Linked DNA regions of Canis lupus familiaris. The protein of the gene in region 1 interacts with the protein of each later gene in a biochemical or structural test. Links are inferred from orthologs where the notes say so. Each region holds a gene or a part of one and is shown on either strand. Other genes may lie near its edges.

Region 1 (7,751 bases):
TCCCTCCAGCTAACGAGGCTTGTCTCATGCTGCCAGGATCCACAGGGAGACCTAGCTGATGAGATAGCCCATACTAACGGCTCCCTGGGAGGCTGTTCTCTGGCTGGCCCCTGACCACCTGAGAAGGAGGCCGCTCCTGCCTTCAGGTCCACGGTGCCAAGTGCTGTGACCACACCATAGCCTCCCACTGCATCTCCCTCTCCCCCAGTCACCCCTAAGGAAACAAGGGCTCTTGCACTCACACACAGCCCACGGATGTGTGCCCCAATGTGACAAAAGTACAACACAGGAATGCACCTTGATTCTCCTCTGACAAAATTCATGCATGAGAAAATAACTGTCAGCGACAACGATAGTAAATTCTCATGCAGTATAATCTCACCCGAGTAAACCTGCACAATCTAGAAAAGCACATGACAAATTAACAGCTATGTCTCTGGAGAATAAAACCATGGGCACTTTTTCAGCTTATCGTTTTGTCACAGCTAAGTACCATACTTAATTTTAAAAGCCCACAAATAACACAGGAACAGGAACTTTTAATGAGGGGAACCATAGCTATTGACGCCTCATACAACCTGGGCCCAACAGGGAGGGGACCCACCCACCTGTCCATTAACTGGCTCAATCTGCTGCAGGGTGGCCAGTACGAAGACCGCAGTCTTGCCCATCCCAGACTTGGCCTGGCACAGGACGTCCATGCCCAGGATGGCTTGGGGAATACACTCGTGCTGGACTGAGGGAGAGAGCACGCGTGAGCAACCAGAAACCAGATGCTCCCTGTGTGTAGGCTCCTCGCCAGGTGGCTGAGGAGACCACAGTGAGGGTGGTCAGAGGTGGTTCTTGGCAGGGAGAAGCAGGAAGGCATACCCTCAGATGGATGCTCAAAGCCACAGTCCACTATGGCCCTCAGGAGCTCCGGCTTCAGCAGAAAGTCCCGGAAGCCAGAGCTGTGGATGGAAACGTAGGAACCCTTGACATCTTTCTTGGGGGGAGCAGGAGTGCTCTCTGGAGGAGCCTGGGGCTCTTCATCTTCCTCATAATCCAGAAGCTCATTTTCCACATCTTGTTCTGCCATGGTGCTGAGAATAGAGGAGGGAGCCAAATGAGAAAACCTACCCATCGAGGGTCACTGAGGGAGAAGACTGCCCAGCACTGCAGTCTGTTAACACAGGCCCAAGAAAGGCAAGGCACTGGAGCCACCTTACAAGCTGGCACAGAAAGGACCCAGATGATGAAGCTGATGGCCATCACTCTCTGATCCCTTTCCCTTATTACCACCCACCCTCAGATTCCTGCAGAATATCCCACCAGCTCCACCTGGACAGCACCTCCCAGCCTCAGCCTGTCATGGTCACACCCTGCCCTCCTGAGCACCACCTCACCTTTCCCTGGCCCCCCGCCCTTCATGCCCACACCCCTTCACCTCAAGGGCCTCCCTCTGCTCTCAGAGCGAAATCCCCACACTTTCCTATGGCTTGCACATCCTCCTTGTTGGCCCTTGCAGCACACCTCCTTCCACACTACCCCTTTCAAACCACCCCCGGCCTTGTCTGGCTGCTCAGACTCACCAAGCCCCTACCCTAAGCTTTTCCAGCACACTGCCACCACCAGGAAAACTCCAATGAACCACCTCAGCCCATTAACCTAAAGGAGTTCCCTCTCCACCACTGCCCAAGGAGTCCACGGGCCTACACAAGGGAGGACCCTAGAGACCAGATGTGGCTGCCAGAAAGCTGGAGAGACTGGAGTCTGTGAGAGAGCAGAGTGTGCCCTGCCCCAGCTCCTCCTGCTATTTGTGGTCTGCACAAGGGAATAATTAAGTACTCTCACGAACAGGCTTCCCATTGGGCCCAAGCCAATAAAAGTAGAGCTGAGATGGTAAAGAGAATACAAAACTTGCTCACCTCCTGGCTTTATTTAATCCAATACATGCACAGCACCTACTGGATGTAAGCTACAAGGGACCCAAAAGTGAGATTATGGTCTTTTGTCCTCCCAACCCCACCCCAGCCTCCAAATCCAGAGCAAGGAAGTGGTGAAGCAGTCCCTCTTCTTCCTGAGCTGGATGTGGAGGGTCCTGGGCCCACTTTTTGGTCCTCCCTCTCTCATTCTCTCTGCGCCTTCATCCAGCCCCAGGGCTTTAATCACATCTGTGTGGAGAGGTCCCAAACTTATGTCTCTGGCCATAAGTTACCCAGATCCCCTCAACAACAGCCTGGTTACCCAGATGCCTCATTTACATCTCCCCTTGGAAGCTGGACTCAAAAGACCCAGAGCAAAACCCTCTGTTTCTTTTTTTTCCTTTATTTATTTATGATAGTCACACAGAGAGAGAGAGAGAGAGAGAGAGAGGCAGAGACACAGGCAGAGGGAGAAGCAGGCTCCATGCACCGGGAGCCCGACGTGGGATTCGATCCCGGGTCTCCAGGATCACGCCCTGGGCCAAAGGCAGGCGCCAAACCCCTGCGCCACCCAGGGGTCCCCCCTCTGTTTCTTCCTGCAGACCTGCTTCTCAAAAAAGGCAATTCCATTCTCTCACTGGCTTTTTCTCTCCTCCAGTCCAGTCAGCCCAACAGGACAATCAGGTCACCTCTCACCCCTGCCACCTCACTGGTCTCAAGCTACCTCTACCGTTCTTTCTTTTTATATATAAATAATCTCTATACCCAACACAGGGCTCCAACTCTGGACCCCAAGATCAAGAGTCATGTGCTCTTCTGAATGAGCCAGCCAGGTGCCCCTTCACCTTTCTTTTAAAATTAGAAGTTTTACTGAGATATTCACAAGCCTACTATTCACTCCTTAAAATGTACATACAGTTCACTGGTTTTCAATATTTTTAGAACGGTCAGAACTATGTGGAATGACCACTGCAGCTGGAGTGCATCACACATTTCGGTCAGGTCAAAAAGACCGGGACCCTTTACCTGTCTTCCCTCCCACCCCCACCCCGTTGGCAACAGCTAACCTACTTTGTTTTCTATGAATCTGCTGGTTTTGGACAGCTCATAAATGGAATCATACAATATGCCACCATTCATACAGCTTCTTTTACTTGGCATGTTTTGACATTCATCTGCTCACTGTGTGGTTTGCATCCGTACCTCATTCCTTGTCAGAGTTGAACATTCCCCTGTACAGGCATACCAGTTTATCCACGGTCAGTTGATGATTTGAGCTCCATCACCCTGTGCCTGGATTATGGGAATAGTCTCCTCATTGGTCTTCCCCTTTTCCATCCCCTTCCATCTTCTCTCCCCAAAGTGTAAAAGTTACATCAGAGAATGTCACCCCTCTGTTCAAAACCCTCCACAAGCTCCCACTGTGCTCAGAACACTCAGGAATCCTCACCATGACCCATCAGACCCTACATGAACCGACCGCCCCTCTACACTCAAACCTCACTTCCTCCATTGCCCTCACTCACTGGCCTTGTTGCTGTGCCTCAAACATGCCTCAGCACCTTTGTACCTGCTGTTTCTGCTGCCCAAAGTGGTCAGGATTCCCCTCACTTCCGTCAGGCCTCTGACTCCAGGACATCTCTTGCCAGCCCCGAGTAGAAAAGCACCCTCTTAAAAGTCAGGCCTGCCAGCCCAGAGCCTAAAGCACTCAACAGCAATAGCTGAATGAATAGAATTAGAATTCAGGTTTCAAGGCAAGGTTAGGGGCTAAAGCAAGCATATATCCTTAACTGATTCTTGAAAAAAGTAATCTGAACAGGGAGGGGTTATTTCTCAGGTAGCAGAGAAAAGAACAGGAGCTAGGAAAGGTCAGCCCCAAAGAAAGTACCAGGCCCTTGTGAGGAATGGAGAGCAAGACTGGCTGGCTGAAGCAGAGGTAGAGGACAAACTTGGGAAAGCTGATCAAGTCGAGGGCATTCACGCTTTATTCCCTAATAGGGAATCACTGATGAGATTATTTTTCACTGATGAGATTTTTTGAGTTGCGTGACTCAATTGCCCCAAGCAATTTACTCCAAGAGTAGAAAGATGAGTGCGGGCGAGAACAGCAACAGGGAAAACCAGTCACTAAGAATTAACCACAGTGGGGGTGTTATGAGGGAAGAATAAGGTGGATCATTCAACAGGGCAGGGCCACCTCTGGGGTAATCCCTGGGCAGAGAAAGCCTAGTCACCTACTCTGTTAAACCCGGGTGCCCCAAGAGGTGATGGTGCATTTTAGAGAAAAATACAGGTCAAAAGAAGGCGTTTTGTTATTTAGGGGGGCGATATTAAGGGGCGGCCCGAGTTTGACGAACAAGATTTTCTTGGAAGTGGCTACACAAAAATCTAAAGCTCAAAACAAATTGGAGGAGGAGAGGACGGTGGGGGTTAGTCCCACCCAGCGGGGGTGGCTGCGACGGCTGAGGCCCCCGGAGCAGACCAACTGGAAGGCTGACGCCCGAGAAGTGTCAATCCAGACACGCCCACGGGTACCCATTCCCTCTCAAAGTGCCTCCAGGGAAGACTTCCACCTCGGAGTCGGCCTCTGAGACATCTTTTCTGCTCTAAATCTCTGGAACCCCGAATTCCCTAAACACAGAGCAAGAACACAACAGAGTCCCCTGTCGTGGCTACAAGCTCGGGTTCCTCCCACCGCAACCCCAGGCCCTGGCGTCACCCCCCACACACACACCCACACCCCGAATCCCTCCCCAAACGGCCTAGGCAGTCTCCTCGAGCAGAGAGGATTCCTCGCCAAGTCGGGGTCGACCCGCGGGCCGCCATGACAGCCCCACTCCCGGAAGCGGGATGACTCCCCGCGCGCCAACAGCCACCGGCGCCCCCCCCCCGGGCCGCGCATGCGCCGTGGCGTTCAACGGCTGCTGCCGCGCGCGGCTGACGCCCAAACCGCTCCGCCCCCCCACCACTCGTCTCGCGCCCCCTCCTCTTCCTCTTCCCCTCAACCCCCGGCGTCTCCCCTCGCCCGCTCGCCCGCAGGTCCGAAGTCTCCGCACCGCGCCCCCGCGCCCCAGACCCACCGCTCACCTGCTTCCCCGTTCGCCTCCGCGTGCTGCTGCGAGGAAAGCCGTCCGACTCTGGTTACCGGCCGCGCGCCCCGACACGAGTTGCAGCGCTTCCTGCCTCCTACGTCGGACTGCGGGTCTGCTCACTGGACGGCTGGCTTTTCACTCAAGAGAGGCGGAAGCGGTGATTGGGTCCTGCAGGAGGCGTCTGGAGGCTATTGGTGAAAGCAGCAAACGGGGCGTGCCCCATGCCTCGGATTCATTGGTCAATCTAAAAGTAGGCGCCCTGGGCTGAGGCCGACGTGAGCCCGTGCGCTGCCACGCGATTGGCGGTTTGCCCTTGGTGGGCGTCGCCATGTTTAGTACTGGCAGCCGAAGCCGGGGAGGATTTACCCTGTGCGAGTATCTCGCGTTGCTGTTGCGTGGCTCCTACGCCTGGCTGTGGAATTCAGGGCTTTGGAAGGGAGCATCAACCCGCGGTGGCCTCTCGGTTCTCCAGGGTGGGGGCTCTGAAGGAGTCCTGAAAAGGATCGGAGACCGGAATGACTCCAGCGTGGAGGGGACGGTTTGCGCCGGCTGTGCCAGCTCCCCTTTGCTGAGAGTCTCGTCCTGAGTCAAATCGTGTGCAGGTGGCCATCCAGGCTCAGGCCACAAAACCCAAACCAGAAGGGTTTTCGTTATAAAGCTTTTTTTTTTTTTTTTTTTTTAAATTTTACTTTTCCCCTTGTATTACATTTTCCCAACTTTACCCACGTCCCATTGTCTCCCCTACCCCCGGTACTTTACTAAGGTAAATGTTATAGTAAAAAGAAAAAGTACACGGAGTTTTGAAGATTGACAGGCAAGTGACAGTTGCCCAGGGAAAATATAGAACATTTCCATCCCCGCAGAAAGTCCTGTTGTGCCCCTCTCTGGTGAACCGCACCCCTTCCCCCTAACCAGGCAAAAGACGATGTAGATTTCTATAATTCTGATCTTGAATTTCATATAAACAGAATCCTGCAATAGATTGTCGTTTGTACCTGGCTTCTTTTGCTCAACAAACTGTTGTTGGGATTTGTCTATGTGTTGCATGTATCGATAGCTCTTTTTCCTTGCTGAGTGGTAGTCCACGGTGTTGATACATGACAATATAGCCAGTATCGTTTCTCCATTCACCCGTTAGTGGACATTTGGTTGTTCCTAGTGTTTGGCCATTATCAATGAAGCTTGTACAAGTATTTTCATAAACATAAGTGTGCTTCTCCAGGGCATATGCCTAGGAATGGAATGGTAGGCCCTAAGTCATGTGTGTGTTCACGTTTAGCAGATCATGACATGCTTCGTCAGTTGTTCTGCTTTACACTCCAAGTAGACACTGTGAAAGTCCCAGTAACTCCCAATCCTTGCTTATACCTGGTACGGACAGTCTTTCTCAGCTGTGTTTTGATTGGGGATTTCGGGTGGTGGGGGAAAGGGAGCAGAGATAAGCTGGTCAAACATAATCCTGCCACAACATTCCAACCTCCCTAAGCCTCTGACACAGTTAAACCTTCCTCCATAGTTTTCCAGGAAGATCTAGCCTTTCAACTTCATTTAGTGTAAGCTATCTTGGAGTCAATATTCTAGACAACAGATTCAAAACTGATGTCACCAGAGATACAACTTCGGTCAAAAAACCGAATGAAGAGAAACCAGTCAATTGTGAGGGAGGCTTTAGGTAATATAAGGTAGATATTGTAGGTAATAATTATACCATAATGCTTACAGAGCTCCTCCTTTGTGCCCAGCAGCTCTAGGATGAGGATGAGGCATGCAAAATCTAAGGGGGCACCTGTCATCAAGATAAATAATTTTAGGGACCTCTGGGTGGCTCAGTGGTTGGGCACCTGCCTTCAGCTCAGGTCGTGACCCCGGGATCTGCTCAATGGGAAGTCTGCTCCCTGCTCAATGGGAAGTCTGCTTCTCCCTCTCCCTATGCTGCTCCCCCTGCTTGTGTTCTCTTTCTCACTTACTCTCTCAAATAAGCCCGTTATCGCATCGGGCTCCCAGTGGGGAGCCTGGTTCTCCCTCTACCTGTGTTTCTGCCTCTCTTTCAGTCTGTGTCTCTTATGAATAAATAAATCTTTTTAAAAAAGATAAATAATTTTAATCACTATTTTAAAACCACCCTTTTTATTTTTTATTTTTTTAAGATTTTATTTATTTATTCATAGACACAGAGACACAGGCAGAGGGAGAGGGAGAAGCAGGCTCCATGCAGGGAGCCCGATGTGGGACTCAATCCCAGGTCTCCAGGATCACACCATAGGCTGCAGGCGGTGCCAAACCGCTGTGCCACCGGGGCTGCCCTAAAACCACCATTTTTAAATAATAAAAAGCACTATTTTAAAATCAAAATTAGGGCAGCCCCGGTGGCGCAGCGGTTTAGCGCCGCCGGCAGCCCGGGGTGTGATCCTGGAGACCCAGGATCGAGTCCCACATCGGGCTCCTGGTGCATGGAGCCTGCTTCTCCCTCTGCCTGTGTCTCTGCCTCTCTTTCGCTCTCTCTGAATAAATAAATAAATAAATCTTTAAAAAAAATAAAAAATAAAAAATAAAATCAAAATTAACTTTTTAGCATAGCCCAGGTGGCTCAGCAGCTTAGCGCCACCTTCAGCCCAGGATGTGATCCTGGAGACTCAGGATCAAGTCCCACGTCAGGCTCCTGGCATGGAGCCTGCTTCTCCCCCTGCCTGTGTCTCTGCCTCTCTCTCTCTCTCTCTCTCTCTCTGTCTCATGAATATATAAATAAAATATTTTT
Region 2 (7,869 bases), on another chromosome or scaffold:
CCCTCTCTTCTTTGCCCATATAGTTGGAGCCCTTTTTCTCACTTGAGCATCCTTTTCCTACTAAGTGTTAGCTGAGAATGAAGGGCACCTCCTACAGGACCAAGGGAGAGGGGATAAAAAATACCTTAGAGAAGTTTTATACAGTAAGTTGCTATTCCTTGTTTCTTCCCTAGCCTTATAAGGACATTTCCCTACCCTTCCTGCTGACCAAACTGTAGCCATATCTGGAAAGAAAAAAAAAAAGTATCTTTATTATAAGGAAAATACACAGCAAAACAGAGCTGGAAAGTGGTGTGGGTAGAAGATCTAGAAAAAAATCACAAAACAAGCTGCTCAGTTACCAAACGAGCTGTTTAAACATGGCTTCCTGCTGTGAAGGAGAGTGATTGAGCCCTTATCTTTCCCACCTTTCCTGATTCAAAAAAATTTGCTCTTAGGGCTGGGCCCCGGGAGCCCCATTTTCCAATCTGTTCTCTTCCTGGAGTTGGGGAAAGGTTATATAGTTCTCAGGCTTTCAAGATACAGAAGACAATACGGAGAAGGAAAGGATGTTCTAGCCCTTTGGTCCAGTGTTATCCCCAGCCCTATCCCTCAGTATTTGTTGATGCCAAAGAGACGAACCCCATGGAATTGGGGTAACTTAGGCAGCAGTACGCTAAGCAATGAGGCTGTGTTGATGATGAAGTGAGCAGCATCATACTTGGTGTAGAAGCTGGCCAGGAGGTAGCTGGGGAGAGAAGAAATGCGTTGAGTGAAGTTGGCTTTCCCTATTCATATTTATGATCTTCCAGTGACTTCTATCTTAAATGACCAGTTTTACTGCGTGTAGTCCTAGAATATCTGAAAGTATTCCAGCTAAATTAACAGTATTTACTTTGGGGTTGGGGAGAAAATCAGCACCTTTAACCGGAGATTTAGAAGTTAGTGTTTTTGAATTGTTAACGACATGGCAAATGACAACTGAAGCCCATATGACTGTATGCCTATATGAGAGTTCCTTTGCTTCCATTCCCCACAGTTTTCACAGATCTATATCAGTCTGGCTTTCTTTATTCACTTCCTTTGGAAGTGTAAAACCATTTGGTTTTACTTGGATGTTTTTTCAGTCCTTTCTGCATTCCCATACCACCAAAGAGGCAGCAAGGAATGCTTGACTACTATTTCCTACTTTTTACTGCTCTCCCTAGATTTAGACCATACCATAATATCTTCAAAGGGTCTAAGAGAATAGTCTGCTCTTTTAAAGCTTTCCGGGGTGGGGGTGGGGGGTGTCTGCACCCGACACTTGGAGCATTTCCCATTATCTCCCCCTGGACTCACAGTACAATAGGAGAGATGCTGAGGAATTTGCGGGAGGAGGTAAATTGGAGCCCGTAGTCCATCTGTTCCCAGTGTGTCAGTAGCCGAGCCTTCCCTTGGTCAGGGGTCTCAAAGGGTGTCCCTTTCACTGTATGTAAGAAGACATACATAGCCTAGGAGGAGGGAAGGGGGCAGTGTGAGGAGGCAGAAAATAGTCCTTCAGCCCAGGAATTATGCGGAGATCCCAAAAGGAAGACAAATGATTTTGTTTTTGATTGGGAAAGGCCTGGGTTGGGTATAAGGGTGTGGTTTAGTGCTCACCAAGTTATGGATGACGTTGGTCAGGGTCCAGACAACAGGTATGCTGAAGAAGGGGATGCTGAGTAGAACCACATGCAGCAGTCCTACCAAGATGATGTAGGCCAGCCAGATGCCCCGGCTATTCATCACGCGAGTGTTGGGGTTTACTTCGCTGTGTGCCACCCCCACATTCATCCTACCACAATGGGGGATCAGGCAGGAGTCCAACTCAATTTCCTGTCAACCTCTCTTTGAGTTTGTTCCCACAAATTGTCTCCTGAGTAGTCCAAATCCCCTGAACTCCACTGGGAAGAGCTTCCCCACTGTGCACGAAGGAAAAACTGAAAACTTGGGGAAGAAAATTTAAAAGGCGAGACAGGCCCTCTTTACTCTTACTCACTGTGATCCTTAAAGTTCAACCGTAACCTGAAGGGGTGAGCCTAGGCTTGGGGCAGGGAGTCCTGGCAGCAGGGGAAACCAGGAACGCGGGGTGAGCAGACAAGACTCCTTTAGTCCGCACCTTCCTTGGGGGCTTGCCGTCGTTTCTCTCATCCCCGTGGCCTGTAAGCAGGCCGCGTCCCAATCCCTTTCTCAAGAGCGGGGCGCTGCCCAGTATTTCCCCTCCTGGCTTTTCGACGGAGCTAGGAAGGGACCTGCGTGCAGCATCTCGAGAGATGGAGCCCTGTCCCCGATTCCAGGGGCGGCCCTGATCATCTGAACTTGGCCCTTTAAAATCGTGCTTGTCGACGCCGAGTTGTGAAGCCGATCTGGCCAGCCCGGCTTTCCTTAAAACTCCCCAAACCCTGGTGTTGAGCCCGCCCCGCGCGCCTCCCGGCTTCCCTCTCGGGCGTCGTCCGTCGGTCGGCCTCGGGGCTCCCTCAGGAGCTCCTCTCCAGGTTCTTAGCCGACGCTCCAGGCTTTCCCGCCCCCGCTTCTCGCCTCCCCGCGTTTCTCCTCAGCCCCCTTCCAGGTCTTGGGGGCCCCTACCTGCGGCTTCCCCAGCGGGTCCCACTCGAGGCGCGGCGTCCGCTCCCACACCTGCGGTCTCCAGGAAGCCACCGCCCCCGCCCAGCCGCCCTCCCCCTATTGGTGGAACGCGGTCAGCGCTGCCGCCACCCATTGGCTGGCAGTTTGCGACGGGGCCGCGCGATTGGCCGCCGTTTCCGCCGTTCGGACCGCGCAGGGCCCGCCCCTCCCCCGCCCCGCCTTCGGAGAGAGCCGGGGGAAGCCGCCGGCCCGGCGAGCGCGACGTCCGCTCTGGACTAATGGGAGGGGTTGGTAGTGTGAGGCGGGAGTAAGAGCCACCGCGATTGGTCCGCGTGGCTCGCGGCGGCCAGGCGGGAGCTCCGGGAAGCGGAGGCCGCGGGCGGGGGTGGCGGCCTGGAGGGGCGGCAAGATGGCGGCGGAGACGGTGGAGCTCCATAAGCTGAAGGTACCGTGAGGCGGGGAGAGGCTGCCTTAGGCGTTCTGGGGACTGCGTTCTGCCGGCCGGCTTGCGCCTTTTACTACGTGTCCGCCTTGCCGGCTTTTCCACTTCGCTTCCTGGCTCCCGCCGTAGTTCTTTTCTTTTGTGCCTCTGGTCTTGCCCACTACGCCTTCCCGAATTTCCCACTTCTCCGTATGGTTTTGCGGCATCTTTGCTATTTCGGCTCTTTCTTCGCCCTCGTATCATCCGTCCCTTCCCCGCCGGGCGTGCAAGTGCTTCCAACCTGCTCCGGTCCCTTCTCGGTTCTCGTCAGAGGTGCATTACGTCAGTGGTCCCCCCTTTTGCCCCGCGCTGGAGCCAGGACCCCTTTTTTTTTCCTGGGTCGACGCGTTCCCGTCCGTTTTCCCAGGCCGGCATTCCCGTCCGCTGATGACGGCAGCTTTGTGTTTCTCCCCGTCCGCCTTTCGGACACGAGAACGCGCCCACTCCTTTTTTTTTTTTTTTTTTTAAGTGGGGTTACGCCCTCGGAGCTAACTTTGAAATCTGAGGAGAGGCCTCAGGAGCTAGGCCTCTCAGACGCCAGCGACCTCGGGGACCTCGGGTCGTGAAGGCACAGCACCTGGGATCCAGCAGTCCTCGGATTCCCCGCCGCCGCCGCCGCCCCCGCCCTGTCCTTACCAGCGGGAACACTGCTCACTCTTAACTGTGATGTTTTGGGAGAGCCCTAGGTTTCTCTCTCTCCTTTTCATCTCGCGGAGGGCCCTGCATCTCGTGGTGTCACCACTGGGTGACACTCAGTCACAGGGCGGTTTTAAATGGTGTCTTTTGTGAATCTTGGTAGCTTCCGCACATTGGGATGATTATTTTCCTGAAGAAGAGAATAGTTTATTTTAGGGTCAGTTGAGAGAATATCTTGATTACTTGTCCATTTGCGGCTTCACAAGTAGTTTTCCCATCAGGTACTTTGGTCCCATCATCCTGGGAACCTTGGACAAACCAGGCTGATTTAGCCAAAGCTGTAAACTGATCCTTTAAGACTTGAAGAGCTTTTACAAAGGAGTAAGGAGAATAAGGGTGGGGAGGGCACATGCTCGTTGGCAGCAGTTAGCCTTTCTGTGAAATCTGATTTTTCACCCATGGATTCTGAAGTGGATTAGTGGGTTTTCACGTATCCTGGAGTTGCTGTTAAGTTGGTAGCACTGAAACATGTGGGTTATATCAGTGGTCTCCTAAGTCGAGAAGTGAAGAAAATTGAGTAACCACCTCTGTTGTATGTGTTAAATAAATTATGTTCTGTGAAACTGTTAGGTATGTTATAAAATATACACAGAAAAGAAAGTTGGCTTTTTTAAAGAGTTTATTCATTTATTTATTTCAGAGAGGGAGAGTGTGAGCAGAGGGAGAGCGATAAACAGACTCCAGCCTGAGCGTGGCGCGGGGCTCAATCTTACAGCCGTAAGATAACAATCTGAGTTGAAATCTAGCATGGGACCCTTAACTGACTGAGCCACCAGGTGCCCTGAAAAGAAAGTTTTGAGTGAATGAGACAAAAAGGAAATATGAGTAGGAGATTTAATATTTTCTTTTTATTAATTCCACTTTTAAAATACCCGGAGTAAGTCACTAGTCTTGAGACTTGCCTTTATGGATTTTATGTTGGTTTATGGAGTGTTTCTTTCCATAAAATCTGATGGCCTGAAAAGGATGCACCCTTTTTTTTTTTTTTTTAAAGATTTTATTTATTCATGAGAGACACAGACGCAGAGACATGGGCAGAAGCAAGCTCCCTGTGAGGAGCCGGATGTGGGACTCTATCCCAGGATCCCAGGGTCACACCCTGAGCCAAAGGCAGATGCTCAACCACTTAGCCATCCAGCCCCCCCCCCCTTTTTTTTAAATATGTATTTCTTTTTTAGAGAGGGAGGGAGGGGGAGATGGAGAGAGTCTCAAACAGACTCCCGGTTGAGTGGGGAGCCAGACATTGGGCTCAGTCTAATGACCCTGAGATCATGACCTGAACTGAAATCAAGAGTCGGAAGCTTACCTGATTGAGCCACTTAGGGTGCCCCTGAAAAGGATTCACTTTTTTAATCACATTTGCTTGTCTTTGCTTTTTCTCTAGAGCACTTCTTAACCTTTTGGAGGTCACAGATATCTTTGAAACTCTGATGAAAGGTATGAACCCTCTCCCCAGAAAAAGGCATGTACATATACTTTGCATGCGATTTGAGGGGCTTCATAAAACTACTTTGTAGCCCTGAGGAGTCCGTGGACCTCTGGTTAAGAACTTATGCCTTTAATTCTGACTTCCAGGACAGTTAATGTTTGGTTCCACTGTTGATCTTGATGAAGTGATCCTGACTTTGGGGTTGACAAGAGTTTTATCTCTTTTTTAAAAACTCTTTCCAGTTTTATAAAGAGCTTTTGTATGGAGTCTCGGAAAAGAACAAGCTTTGAAATAGGGAAAAATATCTGAATTCTTATATAAGTCCACATCAACAGCACATTTCTGAAGTTTTGTAGAAATGCAGTCATTCTAACACAGTTGGAGAAAAAAAAAACAATGTGGGTGGAAATGTCTTGAACTGTAGTGGTACCAGATTCCTAGTCAACGGTGAAAAAAGGGATTACTGCTGAGGAGAGAACCACAAGGGTGTATAGTGTCAGAGTGTTGAGAACAGTGAGACATTTGTAATATTGATGCTCATTTATGTTGGTGGTTGAAGATAGTTTGGAAAAAAAAAGGAAATGAACTGTGTGGCCATAAATGTAGAATGGAGTGATACTGAAAAGCATTTTAACTTGTGTAAGGTGGTTTGGTTTTTGTCATGTGGGCAGAAGATGAGGAGCCTTTGAAAATTTGAAAGGAAGAGCTGATGCAATCAGTTTGTATTCTTTTGGCAGTAAGGAGGATGGGGTCTGGAGAGAGAGATTTTACCAGTTATATTTTTATTATTATAATAGTTACTCTGCGGCTTAAAACCTTTTGATTATATTCCTACCAATCTCTCCAGTTTCTTTTTTTACACTTCTCATCACAGTAGCTTTATTTCATTTCATTCCTCAGAATAGCTGTATTCATTAATTACTAACACTATGTGGCATTTACTATGTGGCAAGGTCTGGTATATACACACACACACATATATATCAACTGATTTAATTTTCATAGTAACCCTGTAAGGTAAATGCTTCTATTATATCCATTTTTTAAAAATGAGAAAAATGGAAGCTCGGAGAGATTGAGTAACTTGCCTTAGTACACAGAGCTAATAATAAGTGGTGACTCAAATCCAGGTAGTCTGTCTCCAAAGTCATGTTCTTAATCACTGCACTACTGTCTTTCTTTACCTCAGAACCCAGAACAGTTACACATGCTTTAGGCTAAAGTGCTCCTGCCCGCTCCATACTCCCGTACCTTTGTCTTACTCAGGCATCAGTCAAATATCATTTACCCAAGGAGCCCTTAGGTAGGATAAGTTCTCCATATCCACACACATGATCAGACCACTTTTTAAATGCTTTCATAGGACCCTGTTCTTTTTTTTGTATTAAACATGTAGGGATCCCTGGGTGGCGCAGCGGTTTGGCGCCTGCCTTTGGCCCAGGGCGTGATCCTGTAGACCCGGGATCGAATCCCACATCGGGCTCCCGGTGCATGGAGCCTGCTTCTCCCTCTGCCTGTGTCTCTGCCTCTCTCTCCCCCTCTCTCTGTGTGACTACCATAAATAATTAAAAAAATATATTAAAAAAAAAAAACATGTATATGATCATTGGTTGCTTTATTTTCTTACTAGATTTTAAACTTCATGTGGGCAAGAACTCTTTCTCTTTTTGTTCATTTTTTTTAGTGTCTAGGATAATGCTTGATGGAGTGGGTGCTCAATCACTGTCAAGTGAGTAAACTTAGTAAGACCCGAAATAAGCTGGTGGATATTAGAATAGGAATGAATTTGAAAGAAATTTGGTATATAAAATTGTAAGTATAGATGAGTTAGATGTGGGAGGAATGAAAGATGAATCCAAGGTTTGAGTAGTCTAGGTTGAGAGGAGAAGCAGCCAGTTTTGTGTAGCAGAAAAGATAAGTTCAGTTTTGGGCTTAAGTGTCTTTGAGATTTGCACTTGGAGATGGCTGATAGTCAGTTGGAAATGTGGGCCTCCTTTTCAAGAACTGCGAGCTGATAGTAAAGGTTTGGTACATATTCAGAAAATATTTATGGAGTGCCTACCATGTGCCAGCTACCATAGGTTCTCAACGTATAGCAATGAACAAAGCAGACAAAATTCTTGTCATGGAGTTTATATTTTACTGGGGGAAAGCTCAGTAAATAAGTAAAATTTATAGTATGCCAAATAGTGATAAGATCTATAGAGAAATATAGGAACAGTGTTTGGTGGGTGTTAGGTGTACAGTGGGATTAAGGGTATTGACATTTTATTTTTTATTTTTTTTAAAGGTTAATCAAGTTTTTTTTTAATTTTTATTTATTTATGATAGTCACACGCAGAGAGAGAGAGGCAGAGACATAGGCAGAGGGAGAAGCAGGCTCCATGCACTGGGAACCCGAAGTGGGATTCAATCCCGGGTCTCCAGGATCGTGTCCTGGGCCAAAGGCAGGTGCGCCACCCAGGGATCCCGGTATTGACATTTTAAATAGGGTGACTACGGAAGGCCTTATTGAGAAGGTGATGTTAAATTAGAGACTCAGAGGTAGGAGAGTGAGTCTTATGCAAAGTGTTATGCGAGGACCTGATAGGTGATCATTAGGACTCTGGCTTTGACCCTTGAGATAGGTTACCAGTGGAGGGTTTTTGAATAGAGAGATGACATTCTGACTTTAATT

What was found. The genes of interacting proteins can lie anywhere in the genome.
Region 2: the proteins of DDX39A (region 1) and SARNP form a complex in vitro, tested with the Homo sapiens proteins (2 studies listed by BioGRID). The link is inferred for Canis lupus familiaris from reciprocal best matches to the Homo sapiens genes DDX39A and SARNP.

What each region holds. Positions count from the first base shown.
Region 1 is NC_049241.1:48,593,048-48,600,798, reverse strand, and holds the start of DDX39A (ATP-dependent RNA helicase DDX39A), read right to left. Parts: upstream 4,657-7,751; 5' UTR 4,639-4,656; intron 4,590-4,638; exon of another isoform or gene 3,626-4,589; 5' UTR 3,475-3,625; intron 3,198-3,474; 5' UTR 3,113-3,197; coding exon 3,108-3,112; intron 1,083-3,107; coding exon 871-1,082; intron 737-870; coding exon 609-736; intron 1-608. UniProt on the Homo sapiens protein: Helicase that plays an essential role in mRNA export and is involved in multiple steps in RNA metabolism including alternative splicing. Regulates nuclear mRNA export to the cytoplasm through association with ECD.
Region 2 is NC_049231.1:550,427-558,295, reverse strand, and holds the start of SARNP (SAP domain-containing ribonucleoprotein), read left to right. Parts: upstream 1-2,995; coding exon 2,996-3,031; coding exon of another isoform or gene 3,032-3,271; exon of another isoform or gene 3,272-4,480; intron 4,481-5,147; exon of another isoform or gene 5,148-5,200; intron 5,201-6,876; exon of another isoform or gene 6,877-7,511; intron 7,512-7,869. Other genes in the region: ORMDL2 (ORM1-like protein 2), read right to left, coding at 1,445-1,447, 2,120-2,160, 2,587-3,271. UniProt on the Homo sapiens protein: Binds both single-stranded and double-stranded DNA with higher affinity for the single-stranded form. Specifically binds to scaffold/matrix attachment region DNA. Also binds single-stranded RNA. Enhances RNA unwinding activity of DDX39A.